5 linked regions of the Zea mays genome follow. The main gene of each other region encodes a partner of the protein of the gene in region 4 in a complex. Links are inferred from orthologs where the notes say so. Each region holds a gene or a part of one and is shown on either strand. Other genes may lie near its edges. The genes, in order: protein PLASTID TRANSCRIPTIONALLY ACTIVE 12, chloroplastic; chloroplastic iron-superoxide dismutase; Thioredoxin-like fold domain-containing protein MRL7 homolog, chloroplastic; Protein PLASTID TRANSCRIPTIONALLY ACTIVE 10; Protein PLASTID TRANSCRIPTIONALLY ACTIVE 14-like.

Evidence for each region.
Region 1: Protein PLASTID TRANSCRIPTIONALLY ACTIVE 10 (region 4) and protein PLASTID TRANSCRIPTIONALLY ACTIVE 12, chloroplastic share a complex: the UniProt entries of both Arabidopsis thaliana proteins name them as parts of the transcriptionally active chromosome (TAC) complex. The link is inferred for Zea mays from reciprocal best matches to the Arabidopsis thaliana genes PDE312 and PTAC12.
Region 2: the proteins of Protein PLASTID TRANSCRIPTIONALLY ACTIVE 10 (region 4) and chloroplastic iron-superoxide dismutase are in contact, whole or in part, in a cryo-EM structure (PDB 8XZV), measured with the Spinacia oleracea proteins. The link is inferred for Zea mays from reciprocal best matches to the Arabidopsis thaliana genes PDE312 and FSD3. Residues at the interface, in XP_021866326.1 of Spinacia oleracea: Arg80, Lys81, Trp84, Val85, Trp89, Pro91, Glu156, Leu158, Arg177, Asp178, Arg188, Glu192, Arg195, His198, Lys199, Ala202, Arg204, Tyr276, Pro277, Tyr314, Trp315, Glu329, Leu331, Arg346, Asp353, His354, Leu355, Leu356, Phe357, Arg359; in XP_021853685.1 of Spinacia oleracea: Tyr59, Tyr60, Gly61, Leu62, Lys63, Lys64, Pro65, Pro66, Leu100, Asp104, Leu106, Tyr107, Gly108, His109, Thr110, Lys116, Val117, Tyr119, Asn120, Tyr121, Gly122, Asn123, Glu142, Lys194, Ser204, Asn205, Arg258, Gln260, Ala261, Phe262.
Region 3: Protein PLASTID TRANSCRIPTIONALLY ACTIVE 10 (region 4) and Thioredoxin-like fold domain-containing protein MRL7 homolog, chloroplastic share a complex: the UniProt entries of both Arabidopsis thaliana proteins name them as parts of the transcriptionally active chromosome (TAC) complex. The link is inferred for Zea mays from reciprocal best matches to the Arabidopsis thaliana genes PDE312 and MRL7.
Region 5: Protein PLASTID TRANSCRIPTIONALLY ACTIVE 10 (region 4) and Protein PLASTID TRANSCRIPTIONALLY ACTIVE 14-like share a complex: the UniProt entries of both Arabidopsis thaliana proteins name them as parts of the transcriptionally active chromosome (TAC) complex. The link is inferred for Zea mays from reciprocal best matches to the Arabidopsis thaliana genes PDE312 and PTAC14.

Annotation. Positions count from the first base shown.
Region 1 is NC_050098.1:198,689,452-198,695,262, reverse strand, and holds the start of protein PLASTID TRANSCRIPTIONALLY ACTIVE 12, chloroplastic, read left to right. Parts: upstream 1-2,173; 5' UTR 2,174-2,365; coding exon 2,366-2,402; intron 2,403-2,497; coding exon 2,498-2,565; intron 2,566-2,660; coding exon 2,661-3,326; intron 3,327-3,912; coding exon 3,913-4,025; intron 4,026-4,385; coding exon 4,386-4,648; intron 4,649-5,187; coding exon 5,188-5,309; intron 5,310-5,527; coding exon 5,528-5,605; intron 5,606-5,693; coding exon 5,694-5,750; intron 5,751-5,811. UniProt on the Arabidopsis thaliana protein: Involved in plastid gene expression. Acidic transcriptional coactivator necessary for the transactivation of many PIFs target genes (class B genes), particularly during the regulation of hypocotyl growth.
Region 2 is NC_050101.1:80,340,975-80,346,690, forward strand, and holds the start of chloroplastic iron-superoxide dismutase, read left to right. Parts: upstream 1-1,935; 5' UTR 1,936-1,950; coding exon 1,951-2,031; intron 2,032-2,872; coding exon 2,873-2,956; intron 2,957-3,060; coding exon 3,061-3,249; intron 3,250-3,408; coding exon 3,409-3,580; intron 3,581-3,704; coding exon 3,705-3,778; intron 3,779-3,873; coding exon 3,874-3,900; intron 3,901-3,972; coding exon 3,973-3,996; intron 3,997-4,107; coding exon 4,108-4,233; 3' UTR 4,234-4,264; intron 4,265-5,716. UniProt on the Arabidopsis thaliana protein: Destroys superoxide anion radicals which are normally produced within the cells and which are toxic to biological systems. Plays important role in chloroplast development, particularly in the maintenance of thylakoids membranes.
Region 3 is NC_050098.1:188,497,992-188,502,230, reverse strand, and holds the start of Thioredoxin-like fold domain-containing protein MRL7 homolog, chloroplastic, read left to right. Parts: upstream 1-1,439; 5' UTR 1,440-1,483; coding exon 1,484-2,169; intron 2,170-2,464; coding exon 2,465-2,549; intron 2,550-2,635; coding exon 2,636-2,747; intron 2,748-4,239. UniProt on the Arabidopsis thaliana protein: Plays an essential role in early steps of chloroplast development. Involved in the regulation of plastid gene expression. May positively regulate plastid-encoded RNA polymerase (PEP) activity through binding to FSD3 and CITRX/TRXZ.
Region 4 is NC_050103.1:170,021,513-170,027,515, forward strand, and holds the start of Protein PLASTID TRANSCRIPTIONALLY ACTIVE 10, read left to right. Parts: upstream 1-2,317; 5' UTR 2,318-2,367; coding exon 2,368-3,084; intron 3,085-3,286; coding exon 3,287-3,346; intron 3,347-3,428; coding exon 3,429-3,458; intron 3,459-3,551; coding exon 3,552-3,625; intron 3,626-4,101; coding exon 4,102-4,183; intron 4,184-4,361; coding exon 4,362-4,435; intron 4,436-4,547; coding exon 4,548-4,614; intron 4,615-4,705; coding exon 4,706-4,798; intron 4,799-4,931; coding exon 4,932-5,108; intron 5,109-5,212; coding exon 5,213-5,263; intron 5,264-5,331; coding exon of another isoform or gene 5,332-5,340; coding exon 5,341-5,492; intron 5,493-5,577; coding exon 5,578-5,971; 3' UTR 5,972-6,003. Other genes in the region: probable carboxylesterase 16, read left to right, coding at 1-433.
Region 5 is NC_050103.1:78,052,320-78,058,159, forward strand, and holds the start of Protein PLASTID TRANSCRIPTIONALLY ACTIVE 14-like, read left to right. Parts: upstream 1-2,274; 5' UTR 2,275-2,283; coding exon 2,284-2,526; intron 2,527-2,637; coding exon 2,638-2,775; intron 2,776-3,340; coding exon 3,341-3,466; intron 3,467-3,933; coding exon 3,934-4,062; intron 4,063-4,170; coding exon 4,171-4,260; intron 4,261-4,332; coding exon 4,333-4,483; intron 4,484-5,153; coding exon 5,154-5,263; intron 5,264-5,741; coding exon 5,742-5,810; intron 5,811-5,840. UniProt on the Arabidopsis thaliana protein: Essential for chloroplast development, especially for thylakoid formation. Involved in plastid gene expression, probably by maintaining plastid-encoded RNA polymerase (PEP) activity.

The sequences.
Region 1 (5,811 bases), on a different chromosome or scaffold from region 4:
TGGAGGGGGTGACGGAGAGGGAGGATCAACACTGATGTCATCCCACTCGTACTTAGCTATTTCTGGAAAGGCTTGGACTTTTGCCTCTAAGGCATCCTACTGAAGCAACTCTAGTTTTTCTTTCATGGCAAACAATGTCCTAGCTAGGATCTCTTCATCATGCATGTGGTCTAATGCATGATCAACTAAACCCCCCATGGATTTTGTGGCATCCTCGGTACAGTCTACAAGGACTTTCATCAAAACCTTCATCTTATCTTCTTTGGAGGATGCCATGATCAAATGGACTGCAAACATTTAATATATGAAGTAACATGTGCAAACCCTTAAAAAGCATATGCATTCATGGAATGAAAAAAGTTCCCACATAATATTGCCTACAAAATTGTATGCACCACCATGGATTCATAAACAAAAGGAACACCATTACAAACTTGTAGGAAATATAAGGGAAGTATATGTAACAGAGCTTGGAAAGTAGTGTACATGCGCTAGCATGGATATATGATAATGATGAAGAAAGGTAACAGGCAAATGTATCTTAAGGCATATGAAAAACATGTAAATGTCCATAATTTAGGGAGGAAGTAAAGTGAAGATGACATATGACATGTACAGTTCGATTCATAAACCAAACAGACACATGAAAACAATAAATTTGTCAATAGCACTTATATATTTGTTGGCAGGTACATGTTATTGTACATAAAGCATGAACATTATAAACACAATTAAACGTAAGGGAAGTGTATGGCACAGAACTAGAAAGGAAAGTAGTACATGCAGATAGAAATGATACAACTATTGTCATGATAGATACACATTTTGAAGTCTTGAACATTACATAAGTTTGTGGGTCAAACACATGTTCAGGCAGACACATGATCAGGCAGATAATCATAGTCAAAAGTAAATGAACATGTCATGAATTGTAGTGAACAACTCATGAACATACGTGTATTCCATGCAAGCACAATGAATTATGACATAATCAGGGTGTCAGTGGAATGCCATATATGGGTGAAGACTAAAATGCTACGAAAGGGTAACATTCCCCAGAAACGCCACAAATACAATTTGTTCACTTAATAAACATCTGCTTCAGTGGAATGAACATCACTGGGGAAATAGATTTGCTGTCATGGCTAATGTTAGGCTACGAGTTTGAAAACCTTGGTTCCATTGGCAAGTACGGGTGAACTGATAAATTGTAGGGGCCGTCTGCATCTCCTAGAAACATGACGCCCAAAGAAGGGTTCAAAGTGGTTCCGAATGCGCACGACTACTTAGTGTTGGTGTGTATTCCCATGTCGTGGTACAGACAAAGTTTGTTCCACCAGGGGGCTAAATCGGAGGATGAACAACGTAACAAGTTCACAGCTCAAACTACAAGTGTGGATCTGCTAAACTCATATGGGCTGGCCAAAATAAACTAGGATTTTTGAACAAAACCAGTGCTGATCTAAATATTTCCTGAATGAAGTATTCATTTGACGGGGTACAAGATGGTATACCTCAAGAAGGGAGGATCTCGCCCGCAAGACGGCGAATCGAAGCAAAATACGAGTGCTGTTCTAAATCAATCGTGAAATAAGTATTGATTTGACGAGGTTGAAGAAGGTAATACCTTAAGAAGGGGAGATCTCGGCCGCAACACGCCGAATCGAAGCGTCTCCGTGTGGATCTGATGGCGCCGTCGATGGTCGGAGACGGAAGCCAACGAATCGGTCGCGACGTACCTCGCCGGAAGCGGATTGGACTCCTCTTCGTCTTCGGTCGCGAACGGCACTGCGTGGTCACGAAGTCGAGGTCCTCTTCTGTGCAACCGAGGGGGGCCGGGGCCGACTCCACCGGCCGACGGGAGATCCGCCGCCGCGTCGCCGCGCTAAATCGCTCTTCCGCGGAGGGGTCGAGGCGAAGCGAGGTGGACCGAGAAGTTTCCGTAGTCTGGCGCGGCCGGCTCCGTCCGCGTGAAGGAGGCGAGGGGGCGGTTATAGTCATCCCCTGCATCTGGCATGAGAGAGAAGAGTGCGGCGAGGTAGGGGAGAGAGTGGCGCTCGCCGCTGCGGGAGGTAGGAGAGTACTGTAGCCACTATAGAATGAACAGTAATAGGGTAGGAGATGTGTAGAGTGAAGCGACAGTCTTATAGCCCGCTATTACACTTCTCTAAAGTCGAAAGACAACCTCCTTCCACGTGAGCGCTTTCTTCCTTCAGCCTTCTCGTTATCCTGAACGCGGCAATCTCCGAAGGTCCCATCCAAAACCTCGCCGCCGGATTCGCACCTCACTCTCGCCCGCGCACTACGAATTGACTGACGCCTACGCCCTACCGCTGCAAGCAGCACCATAGCGGGAGCCGCTACCATGGCGTCCTGCTACAACCCGTGGCGCCTATTCCCAGGTAACCTCCAGCTTGGACCCCATTTCATCGTTCGTTATTCCCTGCGCACAGTTCGTCTCGTCAGATATCACAGCCACTCTGTTGAAACTGTTCAGGCATGTCGACGGCGGTCCCTGCCGGGCCCGTCACGGCGCCGGCTCATTCTCGCACCTGCAAGTCCTCGGTAAGTGCCTAAACGCCTCGTACAGTTTATAACTTTGGTTCCTAGTTCCAGTTCGGTTTACGCGCCTGACTGGAGGTCGTTCGGTGCGTGCACAGAAAGTGTTCAGTGCTTTGCCTCACCGGAGGGGTCTGCTGTTCCTGGGCACGCGGCGTGCCAGGATCAAGTGCGTCAAGGACGACTCTCTCCATTTCGACCCGTCGAAGATAGAACCGCCACCGTACTCCAGCTACTTCGACTCCACATCCGGTCAGCTCGAGCCGGCGTCGGGCGCTCGGGCAAGCATACCCGGGAAGGAGTACTGGCCAGAGGGCACGGCGGCCCGCGTCCGTGCCGCGCGAGCGCCTGCTCCGGTTGGGGAGTCAGCTGGGATGCCATCATTTGGCACGAAGCCCGGGAGCAGGAGGAGAGGGTATAAGGAGCAGGTGACGTCGGCGTCAGGAACGGAGGGTGCACAGACTGATGACAGAAAGGATGGTGATGAACCTGATGTGGCTATTATAGGCTCTGGGGACGATGCATTGGAGGAGATAAAGGATTCGGTGGATGAGTATGTCATTTATGAGACACCAGAGGAAGAGGAGCTGAGTGAGTATGACATGGACAAAATGATGGGGCGGCCACACCCGTTCATTGATCCAGCAAAGGCAATGTCACTAGGGGAGCCGAAAACCAGTGAAGAGCTCTGGTGGCACTGGAGGAGGAAGTCTCAGGAGGAGGAAATGTGGTCAAGATGGCAGAGGAGGCGTCCAGATGTTGACACGGTTAGTTCCTCACTTGATTGAACCTAGCAAGTGGTAGGTAGTGATGTTTCCTTATATTGGGGCTGTTCACCAATTCCGGACATTGAAAGGTACTGCAACAAAAGGCCATAAATGTATGATTTTGAGTATTGCTATGGTACTCGCTAGTATTTCTATGCCTCATTTATAGTTCATATAGTATAAATGTTGCACGTACGGAACAATTTCCATGTGATCTTCCAGTGTCATTTTGTTTGTTTTATCCGTCCAAAAGTAGCTAGCCAAGTATATGGTATTTGTGTTGCTAATTACTGTCAAGTGTTAGCGACCATGGTGTCAATTATTTTATGGTTCTCCAGTTATTCTGTTTGTACTGTGAACGTGAGAAGAGTGTCAGTCTCACAGATGTAAAGGTGAGGTTTGTGCTTATGGGTTATGGCGTTGACGTCTGTGCATGTATATCGATGTGCAGGTTTGTCTGTTCATATCGCTTGATATGGTTGAGGCTTTGTGATTTTATTTTTTACGTTGACTGGTGTTTCAACTAACTTATATTCCGTGACGGCGATCCACATTATAAATTGTAATGTATGCTGTATCATTTTAGGTTTTTGCAAAGGCAATGGCGGAGACTGGGCAAATTAAAATTTTTGGGGACCATCCTTCACGGACAGAAGCTGCTCTTGCAAAGACAAGAAGACATTTGTACAAAGAGGAAAGGTTGACTTACATCCACAGAATACTAGAATTATTATACCATATATTTTTGCAGTACATCTTTACCGAATGATTTTATTGAATATCTGTGCACACATTGTTTCTACTAATTGCCTTACATCATTTGAGTTGGTAGTACCACCACTCGTGCATGGTCTCATCACATAATCTTTCGTAAACCTATTTAACTGCTCTTGGATTTACACCTTCTCCAAGTTATGCCACATATTACAAATATGTGGCGGTCTCATCATATATTCTTAAATACTGCATCAGAAAGATGTCGAGGATCAATTTTTTTAATTGACACAAGTTTATCTTGCCCATTTATACTCTTACATTTAATATACAATATAAAAACAGGTTAGAAGCAGAGCAAAGGAGACTAGAAGAAATAGGGCCAATAGCGTACTACTCAGAATGGGTTGAAGCTTATAAAAACAAGGATACATCACGTGAGGCCATACAGAAGCACTTTGAGGAAACTGGCGAAGATGAGAATGTTCAACTTATAAAAATGTTTCAACACCAAACTGCTGGGGAATATCGTATCATGATGGGCACCGATGTGCGTATTCAGCGAGATCCTTTGGCCATGAGAATGCGGGAAGACCAGATCAAACAGAGTATTTCTTTGCTAAAAAATCTTCTTCTTTTGCATGTCTTGTCTTTAAAGTCTATTTTTTTTGTTGCTGCTGCATAATCATGTGTTATTCGTCTTACATTAGCTTCTTTGTTCTATTCCTCCACAGAGATGCTCTATTCTAGTCTGGTACAACGTCGACTGGAAATAACTAGGAACAATTACATAATATTATTAGAAGCTAAATATAAAAAAACTGTTTTCATACACCTTGGAGTCGTGTCTGTGTTGCAGAACCTTCTGGGTGATTTATATAATCCCATCCACTGATTTGAGTGTGCATTTCTTGAACTAATATGCTCCTGTTTCTTATATATAACAGCAGACCATTTGGGTGGCTTGAGTTAGTAAAAATGTTGTTCAAAATCAGTGTCTTCTTCATAATTGAATGCCACCTTAAAGTTACTCTACTCTTGCAAATTGGAAGAACATATTTTTTGAATAGGAAGGTTTACTTCATACACTTTAATTGTATTGGGGAATATCCTGATCAGGACATAATATCTATTTTTTAATGTGTAGTTTGGGGCGGTGATCCTGTCTATCCAACAATTAATTATGTTCAGGATCCTGATGAAGTGATTGACTACAGAGGTCCTGAATTTCATGAGCCTACCCCTGAAGTTGTACCTTACCTGATGGAGGTATGAGATAGCACTTCTGCTGAACTCATTATTTGGACTTGCTTGGCTAAGATCTATCATAACCATGTTTGTAATGTTATCATCTGCAAAGTCATAACTGCTGTATAACCTTTACTTTTAAGTGCATTTAGTAGTATGACATGACAAGAATAAATGTCAATCCTGGGTAGCTATCAGGAGTCATGAATTCTTATTTGATATCTTTGTCTCCCTCTCAGCATGGGATAATGATCACAAAGGAAGAGCTATATGCACGTCTGAATGAAGAGAGAGAGGACGTCAATCAAGACATAACGGTATCTTACATAAACTATCAATTTAATTTCAATTGATAAGTTTGCAGGTAGGGTTAATGTTACTTACATATCTATTTTATTATGGCAGTATATTCCTGAAGCTAAAGATCCTATGGCTACCGCCATTGATATAGGAGAGCATTCTGTAAGTACCCACTCTAAACATTTCATTTTTCTCCTAAGAAAGAAGTTTGTCAAAGCTTCTC
Region 2 (5,716 bases), on a different chromosome or scaffold from region 4:
CCCAGGTGGCCCAGGCCCAATATCCGCCCCTGCTTTTATATGTTGTCTCATACTTTGGCTAACCAATCGGAGGAGTTATGACTAACTATGGAGGATCTAATAACACATCTGAGAATGGTGAAAGCATCTGAGACCCTACTTGAGTTTGGTGATTAATGAAAACATAGGATTATTATGACTAACATGTGTTTTGCAAAAAAAGTGGGTTAGGCCGTGATAATGGAGAAGGATTGGGCTTATGTGGTATTTTGTGCCTCTATTGATAGAAATCAATTTTTGGTTTCCAAAGGACAAACGAGAAGGTTAATGACCAACTAGTTCCAAGTATCAATGTAGTTGTTAGACACTTAGGGCCTGTTATTTCAGTTTTTTGCTGATTCTGGCCACTAGAAGGTACTACGATTGCCAAATGCTCAACTTTTTTGCCCGCTTCTATGGGAATCGCTTTGGTAAAAACCATCCAAAATCAACGTGAACACATAATCGTCGCGATTAGAGCAATCAACCACTTCCTAGATCCTAAACCCTATGGACCCCCTTCATTTTCCTCCGCATATAATCCCCACGATACTTAGATTCTCCCCACAACCAGATTCTAAAAAAAGCTCGTTAGAAAAAAGCTTAAACAAAAATGCCCTTAGAATAGTGTTAGGACCTCATTTTTTTCCTTTGGTGTACTATAAAGGGGGGCATATAACAGATAGCTTGGCCTAGGCAAGTCTAGTTAGAAGTGGTGATGCACACTTGTGAAAACTAGTGCTAGGTAAACCCATGGGAGTCTACGAGAAGTTTGAAACCAATCCCAACTCAAAAAGTGAACATAACAAGTGAGTTGGCGGTGTTGCAGTGGCACCGAACATGTCTGGTGGACATCAAATATGGTTCTCAAATATGGTTCTCAAAGAGTTATCAGACAAGATACTTAGAGATGTTGTAAACTATGTATGAGAGACCGAATACTTACCGAACATGTCCGATGTGCCACCAAATATGGTTCTCAAAGAGGTCTACAACCGTGCACTCGAGCGTTGCATTCACTCAACGTGTTCGGTGTGGCATTGATGTGAACACCAAATACTGTTACAGTAACAACTAGTTTTTGGAACTAGCCATTGGAAAAGCGCGAGATTTGTCTAGTACAAATAGTTGGTGAAGAATAAAACATAGATATTAAAAGAATCTAACAAATAAGATATCAAATTTGATTCAAGAAATAATAAATTCTTTACTAGTAGCAAGAGAAACCCCACATTAAAGATGGATTGCTACAATTATGATAAACTTGATCATTTTGCTTACCAATGTTTTAATCCGAAGAAAAATAAGTTCAAAGACAAGAAAGATGACTTGAGTGACTATGAGAAGAAAACCAATAAAGCCTTCAAGAAAATAGATAGCAAGAAGAGGCAATTCCACGAGAAAGAAAAGGTTGATAAATACTACATTGTTAGTGTTTGGCTTACTGATATTGATTGAACAAATGATTTGTATTCATGTGACAGTGATGAAGAAGAAGATATAGTGACCACTCTCTATTGGTAATGATAGACAAGCTACTTCGAACACAAAGTTCTAGTAATGGTTCCTCCAAGTCTCCTTTGGTTAGTGTGGTCGACTACAATCAAACTATGGCGACTTTTCCCTACACGGGGGCTAATCTACGAAAACTGCATCGAACAAATCTAATTAGGGGTAATATGCAAAACTATCGAGTCGCGATTTATGCTCGAGATCCAAATTAGGGATTTTTTTATAAAAATATGTGGACAATGATTAATACTAGTCGCAATCCAAGTTAGGTGTCTTTTTGAAAAACACAGGATCCAGATTAGTAATCGCGATCCAACAGGGGTCTTTGTGAAAGTGTTTTGGGCTGATCTGCAAACTTGCGGTGAAATTCCGGTTTCGGCTTCCGCGGGGTGGGAATTTGGATAGCGCGGCGCAGGAAAAATGGCGGCTTCCGCTCTCCACCTCCGCCTCCACCCCTCGCCGCCGGCGGGTGTGAAGCTTCAGCAGCGGAAACTGCGCTCGGTGAGCCCCGTGGGACCCTCTACTACCCCCCCCCCCCCCCTTCTTTTTCTACCCCCTTCTCGCTGCATTCCTGTTCGTTTTGATTTTGCGAGAGGCGGAGCCACTCCTACTGTGGTCGCTGCCCCTGTGCCCCCACCCTGAACCCAGTACGCTGCCCGCCATGGCGCTTCGCGGCGACTGGGCAGAGTGAGTGGTGTGGGATGATTCTGCCGTTAGCTGTGGTGTTCCGGAGGCTTGCCGGGCTGCCTACCTAATCTAATGCTCTAGCATAAGGATCCGCATGTTCGACGTGTGTTTCACATGCTTAGGAACTCTCAGTCTCTCACTTATGTCACTTGGAAACTAACGTCATTTTGACTGCCAAGTTAGATGACTTTTCCTTCTTAAGAGACTGCCTAAGGGCGTGTTTGATAAAATTGTTAACTGGATATAAATTAACTTTAGCGCATCTAAACAGAAGGGCTAATAGGTGAGTTTTTTTAGTCAAGTTTTTAACTAGCTGTTAGCCAACTAGCTAGACAACCTTAGCTAATTTTTAGCCCAACTAGTAACTAGTCCTAAGGAATTCCATTGAATTGTATTTTTATTGATCAATTAGAATTGAGCTCATCCAAACATGTCCTAATTTGCTCAGATGACCTTAGCTTTTTACGAGGCTAAATTGCACTTTTCATTATTCAATGAGCATGCTTGGCCTTGAATTGATATTGCTGGTTTAAGGCCCAGTTTGTTTGAGCTTTTGCTGACTTTTCACAAACCTTAAAGCAGTGAAATCAATGAAATTGCTGTGCAGACATATGTTTTGAGATTATATGCTGTTTGTGCCTGATGTTTATTGCAGAAAATACAGAGGCAGGGTGGCCTATCTCGAAGATTTTCAAAAGTTGTGTCCTATTACGGTCTCACAACCCCACCATATAAACTGGTCTGTAAGCCTGTTGACTCCAGTCACAAAGATTTGCGTGCTGCCATTAAAGGAATGCCCTGATTTAAACTTTGTGTACCTTTGTTTTGTGGTACGGCGTTCAGGATGCTCTGGAACCTTATATGAGCAAGAGGACAGTTGAACTTCACTGGGGTAAGCACCATCAAGATTACGTGGATGGCTTGAATAAGCAGTTGGCTACCAGCCCTCTGTATGGATACACTCTGGAGGATCTGATAAAAGAAGCTTATAACAATGGCAATCCATTACCAGAGTATAACAACGCAGCACAGGTAACTCGTTTATGATACCCCGTTCATTATATTTTGCTTGCACTGACCATCTTCTGCCTGTCATTTGTTTTCTTTCAAAAAGAAAAATAATGCAATTTGTGCTTTCGCCAATAGTAGGATGGTTTTTGGAGTTCCAAGCTTCTGTCTTCTGACATGCAGGTCTGGAACCATCACTTCTTCTGGGAATCAATGCAACCAGAAGGTGGTGGCTTACCTGAGGGAGGTGTGCTGCAGCAGATTGAAAAGGATTTTGGCTCGTTTACTAATTTTAGGGAAGAGTTTATCCGCTCAGCCTTACAGCTGTTAGGGTCTGGTTGGGTTTGGCTTGTCTGTGAGTTTCTTTCTATTTTTTCTGAAGTACAGGCACCACTGATTCAAGCTACTGATTTCCTGAATTGCTCTTTCTAAAGCAAGTTTATAAGTTCAGTTTATATTCCATTGAATATTTGTTGCAGTGAAGAGAAATGAGAGAAAGCTTTCGGTTGTTCATACACGAAATGCTATCTCCCCACTTGCTTTTGGTGACATTGTATGTTTACTAGACTCCCTTTTTCCTCTTTTTGTGTTTTCTAAAATGTTTAGAGTACAAACTTTGCAATGACATCCCATATTCTCTAATTGCAGCCAATCATCAGCCTAGACTTGTGGGAGGTAAGGACATGGACTATGAGTTTTTAGATTTTATTTCGTGCCAAATATTGACTCTTCTCCTTTTATCTCCAGCACGCTTACTACTTAGACTACAAGGTGTGTGCTCCAGTTCTCTTTTTTGGTCCTTAACACTTAATTTTGAATTTTGACAAGTTAGTTATAGCTTAGCAGAAAACTTCTATGGTTCTTTGTTTGTCAACTTTTCAGGATGATAAGCTAACATATGTCACAAACTTTATGGACCATCTTGTCTCTTGGCATACTGTCACTCTACGCATGATGCGTGCAGAGTCTTTTGTGAACCTTGGTGAGCCAAATATCCCAGAGGCTTGAGCTACAGATACACCCTAGTTATCATCGTGAGGTAAGAATTCAGTACTTTGATGCATTGCACCTAGCACATATATATCTTAATCACGTACTTCAATGCAGGAAACAGGGACACTGTTTAGTTTCTTTGTGCTTTTTTCCCAGCTATTGAGTAACCTTTAATAGTAGAAATTAATGGAAATTCAATTCATATTCATAGGTTTGTAGTGCTCTCTCATGGCACGACAAAACTTTTTCTTGGAAAACTAGTACATGACGAAACAGAATACTAGTATTGAGATTGATGTTCATGCACCATGAGATTTCAGGTTACATGGAGGTTTTATGTAAAGGTTTTCTTTTTTCTATTTTAGCTAAGGCCAGGGAGTCGTGCGTGCCCAAGGCTTAACCTGCCACTGAACTGAGATGACAATTAGAGGCTGTCGCTGTCACATTAGTAGCACTTGGTTGATCTTTATTGGCAAGGAATGCTGCTATAAAGCACCCAGTCCCTCATAAACTAAATAAATCAAAAAAAAGCATCCTACCTTTAGCTAGTTCTTGCATCCACCATGGTTTAAAAGGCGGCTAGGCGGAACTAGGCGCCCAGCCACCGCCTGACCGCCTAGGCGACGCCTTAGTAGCCAAATACCAAGCAACCAAACAGCTGTTACAACTCATAAACTAGAAATCATCACAAATTCACAATAGCACAATAGTGGATCTGAAATATCCACAAAGTAGTTTCTAAAGGAACAATAGCAAGTCACAAAATTTAAAACAGCACAATACCAAATCTGAAATAGCCACATAGATAGTTTGTAATGACATAATTAATAGTAACTAGCTGCAGTTAGTAATGCAGCAAATATGCTAATGCAATCTAGCAATAGCTATTTTCCCGTCGCTCAAAAATCATCATCAAACTCTCCTGGGATATTGGGTGCCTCCCCTTCTTCACCATCATTGCCACCATTAGATTCATCTTCACAATCTGTGATTTCCGCATCATCATGTGGAACATCTTCTTCATCTTCATCTTCCTCTTCAGCCTCTGACATATTTTGTGCAGCAACAGAATTTCTTCTTGAATACACATTATGGGCTCTTCTTGGTAAGTTTCGGCCATGAAGTGCTTGTGATGCTCCAATGGCATTATCCACAAGGTCCCATGTAAGGTCACACTTACACCCACGCCCACCTTCAGGGACTACATGCAAAGAATCAGCCCACTCATTGTCCCAGTTGAAGTCCTCATGAACCAATGGATCAAAGTTTTTCCACTTCTTCCGGCGTAGTTTTTGGAACCTAACTTTCATCTTTCTGTTGTAGGAAATGAAGACAATAGAATTCAACCTCTTATGCAACAATCGGTTTCTTTTCTCTGTATGGATCTACAAAATAAGAAAAGAGAAAACACCTGGTCATTTAATTCTGAAATATTGGTTACAAAAGTCTCTCATCCACCACCTGGACAAGATTGTGGGCTGATAAGAGCCTGAAAGTC
Region 3 (4,239 bases), on a different chromosome or scaffold from region 4:
CATTATACACATCTTGATTCTACTTTATTTAAATATATAATAATGATTTTATTGTTTTATGATTTCTTATTTTATATATTTATTGTGGCCTGCTACCTTATATATTATTATTAATTTTATATAAATGTATGACTTACGTGAATTTTTGAAGTCAATTGAGGGTACAAGTTACAATTTTTACCGATCGAATTTTTAGATTTCGATCGTAACCGGTGTAATTTTTGTACCGAACTTTCGTTTTCGATGTTTTCGAATTACCGATATCGTTTTCGGTTCCGGAGTTACCGTTTTCGATCTCGTTTCCGAGGAAAAATATGAAAACGAAAATGGTTTTTGTGTTTACCGATCGTTTCCGACCGTTTTCACCCTTATTGTCGATGATCTGTTTTCTTTTGTGTTTTTTTTTCAATTAAAACCTCTTATGTTTCTCTCTAGCCAAATTCTCATTCTCACCACTACCCGTGCTAGTGTTCCTTGCTTGGCTGATGTTGTTCCTTAGGGGCATTTACAGTGGTAGATTTCATAATTAAGAAAGAAATGAGATATTTATTGAAACAATCTCTCATAGTGAAGAGTTTCATTCAGCACGGTTTCATAGTTAACATGTAAAAGACAATATGTCTAGGTAATAATGTATACATGGTTTCATCTCCATGAAAATCATTTCATCTCTTTGTTTATTAATTGCTTGCCACATCATCTAAACTGCTGACATGGCACACCATTAATAAGAACGAAGCCCCTATGAAACTGACCATAGAAAATGGCATTAGCATCTAAGGTGCACAAAATAGTCTTTATGTCGTCTTAGGTAGCCCACAATGAGGGGTGCAACTTTCTTCTGTTAGACTGTATCTTTCCAAACTCATTTTGACAGTAAGTGTACATTCAGTGAATATGTGATACATTATTTCAAGGTTTCAGAAGCACAACTGATGGAAATAGTTATTTGGATAGCTCCATAGTTAATTGGTGTACTTTGTTGTTTATAAAACCAAAAATTACAATGTTCGAGAGGGTTAAGTTCCAATAGAATTTTTTGGGTTCCATCCTTATTAGAATAGGTAGGTTTGACGTCACGACTCTTCTCGTTTATTAGAGTTTGGGACGGTTGAGCAATATATGCGTAGTTCTTCACATTCGTCTAAATTTATAATGTTTTCTAGACTAAACTAACTATTGAAATATGACACATACACAATTATCATTTACTGATGTTATAGAGATAAGTTTCTCTCTTCTTTTGGTTTGAGAGATCCAAAGGGATTAAGATACTCCATTTGCTCTAATTTTGGCAGTTCCTCACACTCGTCATGCTTTCACGAATCATTCACGAGGCTGGAAGCGTCAGTGCCGTTGGATTTGAGAAGATCACGAGACCAACGGGCAACGGCGGACGAGAAACCGCCATTCGGATAGCACGGGCGCACCTGCCGACCGGCGAAACCCAGCCGCATACTCGCGCCCATTCTCGCCGCGCACGATGCTCCGTCTCCCCACCCTCACCGCCCTTAAACCCTCAACCCCCGCCATCAGCTTGAACCGTGTCGGCTGCAGCCATGGCCGCCGCCGCCGCAAGCTCATCTTTGTCTCATCCGCTCCTCCGCCGTCTTCTTCGTCTTCACGGCCTCCGAAGCCGACGTCGAACCCGGAACCACCAAAGCCCACACATGAGGCCCGCAACCGGAACCCGGATGGATCCACCGAGGCAGGGTTCCCCACAACCAAGCCCCGGAAGCCACGCCGTGGGCGCCGCAGCGAGTCGGCGGCCGTGGAGGACTTCGTCCGCAACCGCCTTGAGCAGGTCTTTGCCTCCATCCAGGAGCGCAACCCCGACGTCCTCGAGGGCAAAGGCGACATCCTGAAGCCGAAGGCCGATGTGGAGCGATTACCAGACGACGAGGGAGAGGGAGAAGGAGGAGAACAGAAGCCCGTGGTGGAAGAGGAGGACCCGAGCTGGCCGCTGGATGCCGATGTCGGATGGGGGATCCGGGCCTCAGAGTACTTCGACAAGCACTCGATCAGAAATGTCACAGTGGACGGGGTGGAGATCGATTGGGAAGGGGACGTCGACGAGGGGTGGGTCAAGGAAATCAATTGCTTGGAGTGGGAGAGCTTCGCATTCCACCCCAGCCCCTTAGTCGTCCTAGTCTTCGAGCGGTACAACAGGTAAGGACCATCCATTCCCTGTCTAGTTTTGATTTGTAAACTGTTGGCATTATGTTTGGAATGGGCTGTGTGTAACCCAATCACCATTTTAAGCTTTGCATTGTGTAATGCGGATGTCCGTAAAGTGTGAATCAAACGAAACTAGAAACTTCAGAACTGTCCTGGTACTGACAGATAAACGGCAAAACAGGCTTCAGTTTCTGGAATTGCTTTGTTTAGGGTGAAGTTTATTAGTTTATTTACAGGAGGCTTTGATTGTGTAGTATTGAACCCTGCATGATGTTGTGATTTGCAGGGCTGCTGACAATTGGAAGTTTCTTCAAGAATTGGAAAAGGCTGCTAAGGTGTACTGGAATGCTAAAGATCGCTTACCTCCTCGGGTAAGTTTGAATAGCATCTTTTGATTATTTGGCTGGGTTACTGGTCTTTGTGCAGGTCCTAAGTTTTGTTTTGTTTTGTTTAATAGACAGTCAAAGTTGATATAAATATTGAGAGGGATTTGGCATATGCACTTCAAGCAAGAGAATGTCCACAATTATTGTTCCTTAGGGGAAACAAGATCTTATATAGAGAAAAAGGTATGTCAAACTAACACCCCAACCTAGCCACCCCTATATGGTTCAAATTGTCCTTGTGAGAATTCTATAAAAAAAATAGTGAGGGTTACCTTTTTTCTTGCGGGAAATTAATTGAGAAACAAAATAGGTAAGTAGAGGTGAGACCTACTTATCATTGTGACATTTGAGAGGAAGAGGAAACTCCCATTAGAAGATTGGAGAGAAAAGGGGATCTATTAGTTGAGCCTCTCCACAATAGAGCAAAGGACGTATTTCCAGCTCAATTTATACGCCCATGCGGCCCATAAGATGAGCTCCTGACAGGATTCCCGTTGGAGTTCATCCTCCATTTTTCTCAATCTGAAGGTTTTGTTTCCATGCTAAAACGTCCATACAGTCAGTGGCGGACCCAGGGTCCAGCGACCCTAGGCGCCTGGCCAGACTTTGGTGCCAGCGCACAATTAGCTATTCATCGCAGCACCTTAATCGGAAGCTTTGAATCATTTGATCTGAGTGATGTCTTAAGTCTCGTCCGGGCTCTATTTCAGTTCTGGGTCCGCTACTGCATCCAATTCTGTTCCAGCCCCAGCTCAATGCACCAGCGACAGCACCCTGCAGTTCTGATCACGGGAAATTCCATTTTACTAAGGGCTAGTTTGGAAACCCTATTTTCCCATGGTATTTTCATTTTCCCAAGGGAAATTAGTTCATTTTCCTTTGGGAAAATAGAAATCCCTTGGGAAAATGGTGTTTCCAAACTAGCCCTAAAGGATTCCTATTTTCCCAAGGGAAAATGAACTAATTTCTCTTGGAAAAATAGAAATCCCTTAGGAAAATGTGGTTCCCAAACTAGCCCTTAAACGGAAAAACAGTAGAGGAAATTCCTACTGCTGTAAGCACACACAAGCACACATTGTTATGTATACACTCAATAGTCGTGTGTCAGTAGTATTCAGTATTTCGTGGTACTGACGCGTACTACTGGTTGGTACTGGATGTGGTTCATTCGTATTCAGTATTTCATGGTCAGTTTTAGCTACTAGGTGTAGAATAGCATTGCCAGTTTTATCTGAGAGAGGGAGGGAGGCTGTTACACAATTGAAGAAAAGAAAAGCACAATTACAGGAATCATAGGGCTGAAGCAACTACAGCCTACAAAAAGAGAGGAAATTCAAGGACAAAAGGACAATTCTGAAGGCCCTTCAATCCTGTGTAACTGCAGTGAAACTTTGGGCGTGTTTGGTTCTGGCTTCTAGGCCCAGGCAGGTTAAAAAAACTCAGCCGGCAAGGAAAGACCACCTCACGGTATTATATTAAGAAGCTTAATCGAAGCACGATCGAGGAAAGTCACGAAAGCTAGCTCCCCATGCAGCATGAGGGTCCGCCCCCTATAGGCCAGATCTTTACTCGTGCTTTGAGCTCTCCCAACCCCTACATAAGGATCCCTCTATAGGCCAGTCCATCTTGTGTGCACACAACTAGGGGAACCAGCGAGTGACTTTTTTTAACCTCA
Region 4 (6,003 bases):
CCTGATGTATCCCTTTTTCATAGGGAGTGTTCCAACACACTCGGAAATAAGGCTTGCGAACTCATACTTCTATGACAAGTCCACATGTTTACTTGCTTGGAGATTATTTTTGTCAGATAAAGAGTTCAACCTAGACCACCCTGCTGCCAACCCTCTGGCGCCTGGCAGAGGAGGCCCTCCACTGAAGTGCATGCCGCCGACCTTAACGGTTATTGCCGAGCATGACTGGATGAGGGATCGAGCAATTGCTTACTCTGAGGAACTCCGCAAGGTTAATGTTGACTCGCCGGTTCTTGACTACAAGGATACAGTTCACGAGTTTGCAACCCTGGACGTATTCCTAAAAACACCACAGGCGCAGGCCTGTGCCGAGGACATTGCCATATGGATGAAGAAATATATATCCCTCAGAGGGCATGAGTTCTCATATTAGTTGTAGCAAAAACCATGCATTGTGAAATAGGCCCTTTGCAGGGAAGCGTCAATGTGTTCTTTTCAACTGGTGGAAAGAGGGATGTTGGATTGCAGTCGGGTAAACCAGCTAGCTTAATGCTGAGTACTGAGTCCTTTAGGCCCTGTTCGGTTTCACCGGAATAGACCAGGATTTATTCCAGCTCATCAAAATCTATATAAATTAGAGAAGTAATCCGGCTAGGAATCAATCCGAGGCTCAAATCCATAACAACCGAACAGAGCCTTAGTGATTTTTGTGGAAGAATGTAGTGTGCAAAGTTGTAGACTGTAATCAAAAGATACTCTTCCCCTTGTAGAGCTTAATTCTTTCATTCCTTTTGTACCCTTTGTGTATTTTGGAATTACTGGTGCTGGGGGTTACCATTTTTTGAGAAGAAATAGCAATCTCAGTGGCCATACTTGTGGAGCACTGAGCTCCACACAACGACATGTAACCTGATCGTTCATTTTGTTCCGCGTAGCGTATCTGCTTATATCAGCATGCATCCTTTTTGTTGAACATTGTATTTTGCATTGGCATCAGGTTTTATTACGCTATTACCCATATTGGTGTGCACTAAAATCTGGTATTATTTGAAGGCACATTTTTCTTGTCAGCATCATAAATGTTTAGCGAATGCGAGCTGTGTGTGTATGCCAAGTTTTCATCCACTTATCAACTTTCATGTCCAAAGTCTTCTCAAATCATAACCTGCTTCGTGCCTACACCAACATTCTTGAAGTTCACGTTTTTATTTGTAATTTCCTGTTCTTATTTAATTCACGTGCTCAGGCATTAGCTGAAAACTTGAAATTACGCTAAGGTTAGGAAAAGTCGGTCCGAGCAGAGTCTAGGACATCTTTTGTATTCCAGCTATACGAATTGTCACTGTCAACAAATGATGTCCGAAATCAGAATTGTACACAGATCAGACTTGTCAATCTTATGAAAAAGAGAGAACTCATAAAAATCAGCGGACCTTCAATAGTTTACATTCAAAAAATAAAAAAAATCTAAAAGCTAGTTTGACAATTTTATTTTTTTAAGAAATTCTAATTTTTACAAAGGAAACTAAACTAATTTTGGTCTAGTTTAACAACTCTATTTTTCCAAGTGATTTACATTTTCACAAGCGAAAATAAACTAATTTCTCTTATAAAAATAAGAATCACTTGAAAAAATACGGTTGTCAAGCTAACCCTTTTATTGGAAAATGAAATTTTTTAGAAAAATAGAGTTGTCAAACTAGACTTAGGGGGTGTTTGGTTACACCCCGCTAAAATTTAGCTCATGTCTAATCGAATGTTTAAACCTCCGTTCCGGGTATTAAATGTAGTCGGATTATAAAACTAATTTGTCAGCCGAAGATTAAAAGACGAGACGAATCTAGTCCAGTTGGTTGGGTCTATATTTCATACTCCTATTTAAAAGTCAAACACTTGATGTGACTTAGGCTAAACTTTAGCAGGAGCAACCAAACACCCCCCCTTAATGGTTATATCATAAATGACCTTTCACAAGACATTCCTTGTTCTGCTCTGAATAAAAGGTTGGAGTGATGGTTCTTTTTCTAGGTAATCGGTTATTATCTCGGTAGGATCTTTTGATCCTCCTGGAGCCGACCTGTAGTGATGTAAGCATTTTGTAACAACTCACATAATAAATTTAAGATTTATTTTTTATATTTTTTATAAATTTACTACTAAAAATAAAAATATAAATTTACGAAGCAGATTATATATCCTATTTTTCACAAGAAAATAAAAAAACTAAAAAATAATATATAACTATCAGAGTATTAGTTTTCATCTTACCGACATGTGGGCCACCACATGAACCTTATCCCCGCCGCGCCTCCGCTCCCTTAAACCCCGCGACGGGTCACTGGACGGCCACCAGTCCGTGCTCCCAAAATGGCGGCCTCCCCAGCGGCCGCCGCTACCTTCCTTCACCATCACCTCCCCTTTCCCAGTCGCCCCAAGACACTTCTCAGACCACGCCTCCACCGCCTCGCCGCGTCCATCAACCCCTCGTCCACCGACGAGACCCCCGCCGCGGACCCACCGGTCATCCCCTCGATCAGCATCAAGAACACTGAGCCCGAGGAGGTCGCCCGCCGCCGCAGTTGGGTGGAGCACGGATGGGCTCCGTGGGAGGAAATCATGACGCCGGAGGTCGCCTTTGCGCGCCACAGCCTCAACGAGGGCGAGGAGGTGCCGCTTCAGTCGCCGGAGTCCCTCGAGGCTTTCCGGATGCTCACGCCTTCCTACCGGAAGAAGGTGGAGGCTGAGCCAGGATACCTGGAGCGCCTCTTCGCGACGCGCGACACGCCCGAGCCTCTCGAGACGACGTGGGCCGGCCGGCTCCCGCTGCGGCTCGTGCCGCCGCGGGACTGGCCGCCGCCTGGCTGGGAGGTGGACCCGGACGAGCTGGAGTTCATAAGGGAGGCGCACAGGGCGGCCTCTGAGAGGCTGGACATGGAGGCGGCGGCTGCGGCAGGGGTGACCAACGTGGAGAAGCTGGAGGATGCGCCACAGGATCTGGCGCTAGAGAGGTACAAAATGTTCCTGAAGCAGTACAAGGAATGGGTGGAGGCAAACCGAGATAGGTTGGAGCAGGAGTCCTACCAGGTATAATTGAGTAACTCACTGCTTAATTCTAACCGGAACATCTTTATATGATCATCTAGAAAACGATGAAGCTAGTTTTGGTTGTCATTGTGTGCGTAATTGAATAGAATTTAATTCGTGTCTGTCTTGACATCCCATCGAGTATTTACAGTGTTCCTCTGCCATCATGTAATGTTAAACCTGGGCTATTGCAATTGTGCAGTTTGATCAGGATTACTTCCCTGGCAGACGAAAAAGAGGTAAGGACTACAGTGAGGATATGGTAGGTTCAGCTCTTGAACGAGTCCCATACATTTTGTGATTCATTTCTTTAAGGTACTGAAGTATTGTTTGCTCTGATGCAGCGTGAACTTCCATTCTACTATCCCGGACAGGTTCTGTTGGAACATCTCTACTTCACCTTTTTTTCTCTCTTAGCTAGTCCATTTAATTCTAACCATTTTTTAAATGGCTTTATGCTCTTGCAGATATGTTACGGGCAAGTAACGACTGTTCACCTCTACCAGGGAGCCTTTGTGAACATTGGTTGTGTCCATGAGGGGTATGTGCACTGAATTCTGCTGCATGATGAATTTACGATGAACCTAGTGTACTTAATTTAGCAAAAGGCAGGCCATGAAGGATTATCTCAACTCTCTCCTTACTGTAGGCTAACACAATTTTTTTTGTTTATGGTAATGCTATAACTTGTGTCTTCCCATGCACATGTCTGAAATTTGGGTGTCATGTTTTCTTGTTATACCATCCTTTTTTCTGCTGCGTGTACTGGAAATTACCACATTTCAGATTATTAAGCACACCCCAAAACTTGCACAAAACATTCAACACATAATCTAGATCCAATCAGCACTCTCCACCTTTCAGCAACAGACAAACTTGGCAAGCTTCTTAAATTTGCACTTGTAGCCTTGTAGGATAGTCCTCTGTCTCTTACCCTAGATTTTAAATTTAGCATAGTTGCTAAGACATCGTCTGCTATTTACCTTGTTGAAAATTTACAACTTGTGATGCTTTTAGGTGGGTACCGATAAAAGGAAATGACTGGTACTGGATCCGACATCACATCAAGCCTGGCATGAAAGTCTACGTGGAGATTCTGGTAAGTGATCTTGAGAAATTCACATTTACAGCGAGTGGTTTAAGGACATCTAGTTTCAATATTATAAAGGAAATGCTTTACATTGACTAAAGTGCATGTTTTGTTCATTCTCTCATTTTTTAGAACATTCTGTACATGTTAAGTAGACCGACCTTAATATCTATCAATTTCTGTGCAGGCCAAACGAGACCCTTACCGCTTCCGCTTCCCACTTGAGATGCGATTTGTATATCCTAACATTGATCACCTAATGTGAGTACCACTGTTATCATTGTGTCCTCAGTTCTGATAATATGAATATTAATGCCAGTTGCCATATCGGTGCTTGAGTTTATTCCAATGTGTATTTCCCTTCTGACTGCAGATTTAATAGATTCGACTTCCCACCAATATTTCACCGTAAGGAGGATACTAACCTAGAGCAGTTGTGGGTGCGAATTAATTCTGTTTGATTCAGTTTTCTGCTACCATTTTCAGATCTTATACTGGTGGGTGCATCTAACCTTTTTTATGAACTGGCAGCGTGAAGCCGGACGGCCACCCATTCCTAGGAAAAAACCTTTAAAAGATATGGAAAAGGAACCTTTGGTATCAGACCATCCTTTTGTTGACACGGTATTCTCCATGAATCACAATCATATGCCTCATGCTTCGTATATATATTATTTTGCATGCATCATGTTGTGGCTTGTGCATCTTGCCGTCAAATAGGTTTGTAAGTTAAGTTCCTTTTTTTTTTGTTTTGCAGCTTTGGGAATGGCATAATGCAGAGCAGATGATTTTAGACTACGAGGAACAAAATCCAGATAAATTCAAGAATACAACATATGAGTCCACAGTTGATGCACCCTCAATCGATGAAGAAAAAAGAGTTGAATACACCGAAGGATATTTCAAAGAAACACTGCTAAAAAAGAAAGTTGTGGTATGTAATATCTGTGGTTACCCATCTTTGGATCTTTGCAGCTTGTTAGTTGCAAGTAGATGTATCCCCTAATGGCATCCTGTTGTGATCCCCTTTTTTTTTAGAATATTAGCATCAAAGAACTTGATCTGGATGCTGCCCGTGCTGAACGCCAGGTACACCTCCTTTTACATACGCTGACAATATTTTGTTTAATCGCTTACCATTCCATACTGAACTTTAGTCGGTACAGCTGATAAAAAGGCTGAAAAAGGAAGCCGAGGAGAGAGGGGAGGAATACAAGGTTAGGAAGCTCCGACGAAACAAAGAAATGGATGAGTATGATCTGATGCAATGGCGTCGTTCATTTGAAGAGAGGGAAGCGCTTATCAGAGACATCTGCTGGTAAATCTTGTATCAACGAATTCTGTCACACCACCTACTGCGTAGTTTGGTAACTCCCTAATAAAGTTTTTTTTTTTATTTGCAGCCGGAAAGCGCTTGATCTTCCTATCGAAGAGCCCGGGCGATACGACGTGGACGAGACAGAGGTGTACGGGAAGGATTACTATGACCCAGAGAAGCCAATGTACCGGTACGACTACTGGGGCGAGCCCAAGAACACGGAGAAGACGAAGCTGGAGCGGGACGTGGAGCGCCACAACCAGCAGGTGGTCGGCGACGCGAAGAAGTGGTGCGAGATGTCGTACGACGACTACGTCCGCAAGAAGCTGCGGTTGGAAGCGGCTGAGGCGAGGGAAAGGCGGAGGAAGGCGGCCGAGGCGCAAGAGGACGAGCAGGAGTACGATGACGGCATGGACCTGGACCTGAAGAAGATGACCGATCCACGCGCCCCGCACAACCGGTTTTACATCACGAAATGAAAGGTTAGAGATAGTTGTTAGTTGTGCAAAAG
Region 5 (5,840 bases), about 92 Mb from region 4:
GTAAGGTCGATAAGTCTGAAGATCATGACACTTATCGACAGAGATATTGGATGTGTGCTAACTTTGCATTTGAGCCAACTATTGTTCAATGTCGGATGAATTTAATGGTGAGAATAGTCTTGTAATATGTTTACAATTTGTAATTGTTTTTTTGCGTAATAATAATTGCATATTTTGTAGACTCCTCCACCGCTATGTGATTTTGAGCAGTGGATTGACACAGAAATATCAGAGAAAGACAAGAAGTGGTTGGAGAATCTTCAAAAGTGGGATGCAGAGGATAAAGAGAGGATGGAAAAAAGACGAGAGGAGCTTGCTGCCGAGCAACAACGTGAAGACGAAGAGAAAATGAGGCGTGTTGCTGAATGCAGGGAAGATAAGGAGAAGAAGCTTGAGCGTGCACGTCGTGCAAAGGAAGCAATGGAGGAGAACCCTGATGCATTTCGCAAAGGCAAATGGCCTCGTTGTACTCAGTAGTATTGGTGTTTTATTTGAAGTTATGTAATAATGAACTTATTATTCGGTATTATGTATTGTCGAACAATGATATTTCGTAATGAATTACCTTCAAATTGATGAAAAATTACATAAATACATAATTGTCTACCATCGAATAGTACCGGCACGTGTCGCATGTCAATGAACTTGGCATTTCCATACGGATCTTGTTCCGCATTGCCTCCATGATACAAGCTCAAAAAATTGTCCATCTATTTGAAACACCAATTAAACATTCAATATAAACTGTGGATGGTTATTACCTAACCACAAACCACTAATTACTACCTAAATAAGTACAAATATAACCACCACCCACTAATATACTAACCACATTATAAAATACTCATATATAATAATTGCAAATTTTGACAGCACCTCCCCTGCACGGGGAGGATAAAAAACATGCACATTTGACTCACATTCATAATATTCAATCAAATTAGCATTTATCACATTATAAAATACTCATATATAATAATTGCAAATTTTGACAGCACCTCCCCTGCACGGGGAGGATAAAAAACATGCACATTTGACTCACATTCATAATATTCAATCAAATTAGCATTTATCACAATAACTAACATTCATCACATTCAAAAAACCACAAATTATAGCAAAACAATTTAACATAATTAACACAAAATGCTTACACAATAAACAAAAACCATATAAAATTTACCTAAACGGTCGGGGATGAACGTCGACGACGCGGGCGAGGAGCGAGCGCGACCGAGGAGCGCGCCCGGAACGGGACGACGGCCGTGCGGCGGCGGTGGGAGGCGTCCGGCCGTGTCGGGGCGGCGGCGCGGTCAGGGCTGGCGGGGCTGCCGGGGGGCGGGCGTGGCGTGTCCGGGCGGCGCCGGTCGGGGGAGGAGCGGCGCCGGGCGGGGCGGCGGGGGCGCTTGAGGGGCGGGGGCGTGTGTGGCGGGGCGTCGCCGGCCGGGGAGGAGCGGCGCAAGGCCGGGTGTGGGCGGGGCGTCGCCGGCCGGGGAGGAGCGGCGCCGGCCGGGTGCGGGCGGGGGGTCGCCGGCCGGGGAGGAGCGGCGCCGGGCGGGGACGGGCTTGGCGTCGCCGGCCGGTGGAGGAGCGGCGCCGGCCGGGGGCGGGCGGGGCGGCGGCGGCCGGTGGTGGAGCGCCGCCGGGGAGTAGCGCGGGCCGGGGAAGGAGTAGCGCCGGCGCGGGGTCTTGGGGGCGGCGTGAGTTCAATTTTTTTTGCACAGAAGATTGACAGAGGTTGAATACAGGGGGTCGACGCCAAGATCTATGGCGCCGACCCCCCGGACACGTGTTGCGCCGCCGACCCGGGGGTCGGCGCCATAGATCTTGGCGCCGACCCCCTGACACGTCACTGCCAGCCAACCGCCACGTCTGATGTATAAGCGCCAATAGTATTGGCGCCGGCACACAGAAGCTCGGCGCCAATGATGACGGCGCCGAGCTAAGGGTCCATTTTTTGAAATGAAACTGCCAGGGGCATATTTGTGGGAAAAAACCCGAAAAGGGCCAATTTGCAAAAAAGTTGGGCGCCACGACGTCCGTTTGTGCCAACGCAGCACGTACCTCGGCGCCATAGCCTATGGCGCCGAGCTGTGTTACCTCGGCGCCACAGGCTACGGCGCCGAGTAAAGGGTCCAAAAATGACATTAAAATTTTATAGGGTCCAAACGTGAATTTTTTTCCGATGAAGGATCAAAATGCAAAAAAATCAGCCCGCCACTCAAGTACTCAACAGATAACGTCTTCGGCGAGTCCAGTTCACCGTCCCTCCCTGTCCTTGCCATGGCCATCCCCACCGCCCCCGCCCTCCTCTTCCCCTCCGTTCTCCCTAACTCATTCCCCCGCCGGACACCCTGGCGACACCTCGTCCGGCGGCAACCGCGTCACCTCCGCGCGGGCCGCCCGCGCCTGCAGGCGCCGGCGCCGGCTCCTCCCCCGGTGGCGGAGGTCGCGGCGGAGCGGGACGACACGCCTCCGCTCAGGCTGCTCGAGCCGCCGCAGGAGGACGACCCCTTCCCGCCCGAGGTCCTCACCCTCACGCTTTCCTCGCTCGCTTACAGACGCCGGTCTCACCGCCGAATTTAGAATCGCTCGATTGACGGTTATCGTCTACGTACGTCATCGCATTGTGTGTAGATGGAGCCCGCGGACCCTGATTTCTACCGGATAGGATATGCGCGGATGATGCGCGCCTATGGGATCGAGTTCCTCGAAGGCCCCGACGGGATGGGCGTCTACGCTTCCCGGGACGTGGAGCCACTTCGCAGAGCTAGAGTGAGACACTTCATTCAACAATTCTCCTCTTGTCCAAGTCCAACCACTAGCTACCGATCAATTTGAGGTTTAAATCTCTGTCTCATTGCAGCTGGACGTCCATCACCACACCAGTTAGTGTTTGGATGCAGCACCTGTGAATCTGTGATTGGGTGGGAAACTCACATGAGAATAACTGGTCAAGGACGTTGTTCGTGTGTAGTAACTGTTAGATTATATTTACACTATATTTAGTAGGTAGTATACATTACCACTGGAAGTCAATGGCTTATGTTAATTGCCTAATTGTTATTTGCTACATACTTGCTGTCACCAAAAAATATGGCATCTATAGTTATAACACATGTTTGCTCGCAGTCGCATTAAGCTCACGAAATGCCAGACCCATGTGTTGAATTCTTCATCTTGATGCATGCTATAGACCTGTAGTACGATGGTCTTGTTCAAAAGAATTATATGATATTCTTGGCATGCTGAAACTGTTTGTATAACATATTTGGTTCTTTTCGTTCGCAATGATGAGCAATGTTATTGAAAGATGTGCTGATGTTGCTTTCTTTTCCAGGTGATTATGGAGATTCCGTTGGAGCTGATGCTGACTATAACTCAAAAGAAACCTTGGATGTTTTTCCCTGACATTATTCCACTAGGCCATCCTATATTTGATGTTATCGAGTCAACAGATCCAGAGGTAGGTGGATCAAATCTTTTGTTGCAAAGAGAAAACTGATCTCTTAAAATTCCGTCACTAGTTTCTATTGAATGTTCAGCGAATTAGTTAATAGCTTTGTCACGCTAATCATTTTGTTAACCAGTTGTTGGTTCTCCTATATTTATTTTAGGATTCATTACATAACAGCCATCTAATTGACTTGTGTTGAAGTTGTATGGGTGCAATTTAGCATTCAATGTTCATATAGTACATTTGAGTTTCCATACAGCTAGGATCTGTGTAATTGAGAATTTGAGACTGCAGAGCAATTTATGTGCACATTCCATCCATATGGTTGAAGTTATCGACCCATAAGCTCACAGTTGCATTAGAGAGGAGTGATACCACTTTCAAAAACTCAATCATCTGTCTTTTCTTCAACAAATATTAAAGCGCCAATAAATGATCTATGCTGGAAGCTGATGTAATTTGTATTACTCTTGCAGACAGATTGGGATCTAAGATTAGCATGTCTTCTTCTATATGCATTTGATATAGAAGACAACTTTTGGCAGTTATATTCTGATTTTTTGCCAAGTGTTGATGAATGCACTAGTTTGCTGCTGGCACCAAAGGTATCAAAAAGCTAACGGAAAGTATATACCTCTGCTGTGTCCTTTTCTTAGGAACCTCCTTATACTTGATTCTGCTGTTTGAATGAATTCATATGCCTGCCTTTCTAGGAAGATCTAATGGAACTAGAAGATGAAGATCTTGCTTCACAAATGTTAAAACACCAGGAACGAGCAATTGACTTTTGGCAAAAGCATTGGGTATACTTCTTCATTATGTTACTAGCTTACCTTCCTTGAACTCCTCTAACTAGCTTGATGGGTAATATCCAGGACAAACCAATTCCTCTAAAGCTGAAACGCCTTGCACGTGACCATGAGAGATTTCTCTGGGCACTGAGTATAGTACAGTCTCGTTCTGTCAACTTGAAGTTGAGAATGGGAGCCTTCATCCAAGATGCAAATGTGCTAGCTCCTTATGCTGGTACTTCTTTTCTTTTTTTGGTTTTCGTGATTGCTGCTCCCCCTCCCCCTCTCCGTTGCGTTATGCATAGGCACCTAAGTGAACAACAGGATGCTAGCGTTATGAGCCTGTAATAATAGTCACAAAAATATGGTTAGCTATGCATTTCAACTGGACTTCTACTCTACTCTGTTTTGTAGTTTTATATGCCGATCTGCTTGTTCATTTACTGTTACACAGATACAACATTCTACCATTTGACTTAGTTTGAGTCTTTGAGATGTGAAGGACAGGCTTGGTGCAGTGGTGAGAGCTGTCTCACTGAGTCACTAGGTTGCGGGTTCAAAACAGCATCTCCGCATTTGTAGGGGCAAGGCTTGCTTTGGTTTATCCCTTTCCCAGACCCCACTCATATGGGAGCCTCTAGCATCGTGTCTGCTCAACTTAGTTTGAGACGCAAGATTAAACTAATCCTAGATAATCTATATAACAGGAACAATGCCTGTGCATCGTCGAACTGTTGAGATAAAAACCATAAATATATCTGTCATATTTAACACAAGATATTTCTCCCATTCATGCATTATAGGCAGCTATCTGCCTTCAAATTATTGTTCAGACTGCTAGTGTAGTCCCCAATTATCTGCTTAGGAGTGCTTTATCTAAGTCATGATTTGTCTTTTATCCCCAGATATGTTGAACCACTCACCCAATGCTAATTGCTTCCTGCATTGGCGTTTTAAAGACCGTATGCTTGAAGTTATGATTAAGGCTGGACAAGCTATCAAGAAAGGAGACGAGGTATTGTCTAGGATGTATGCTCATCTTAATTTTTCCCTGAGCAACGGATTAATTGGTTTGTGTTGCTAGTGAAGTTAAATGTCTCTGTTTAATTACATGGATTTATCACCATAATAAATGATGCATGTGCGCCTTGGTTGCAGTCCTCACTTTTGTTAACATCAGGCTTAAATACCTGTTAAAAAATAATGGATAGTAAAAAAACTCTGAAAAGCGCATTCATTAAAATTATGCGTAAATGCTAGTAGATCCTTTAGCAAACTTTGTTTCTATTATTGTGCATAATTATATTTAGACCATTCTATTTCTCCAGTCCCATACATGTTGGAAAGTTCTCTATCCCATGTACCAATAGAAATACCGCTGCACAACCTTCTACCAGTCTCAGCTAAAATTGCTATCCTCACAAAGTCTATTCTTCCAAAATTTTAAGCCAATTTTTTTAATGTCACTATTTGACCCATGCACTCATGTACAGATGACGATAGATTATATGAGTGGCGTCAACAGCAAATTTATGGAAAGATATGGGTTCTCATCACCAACGGTATGACCACACACTTGTATCTTGTTGATG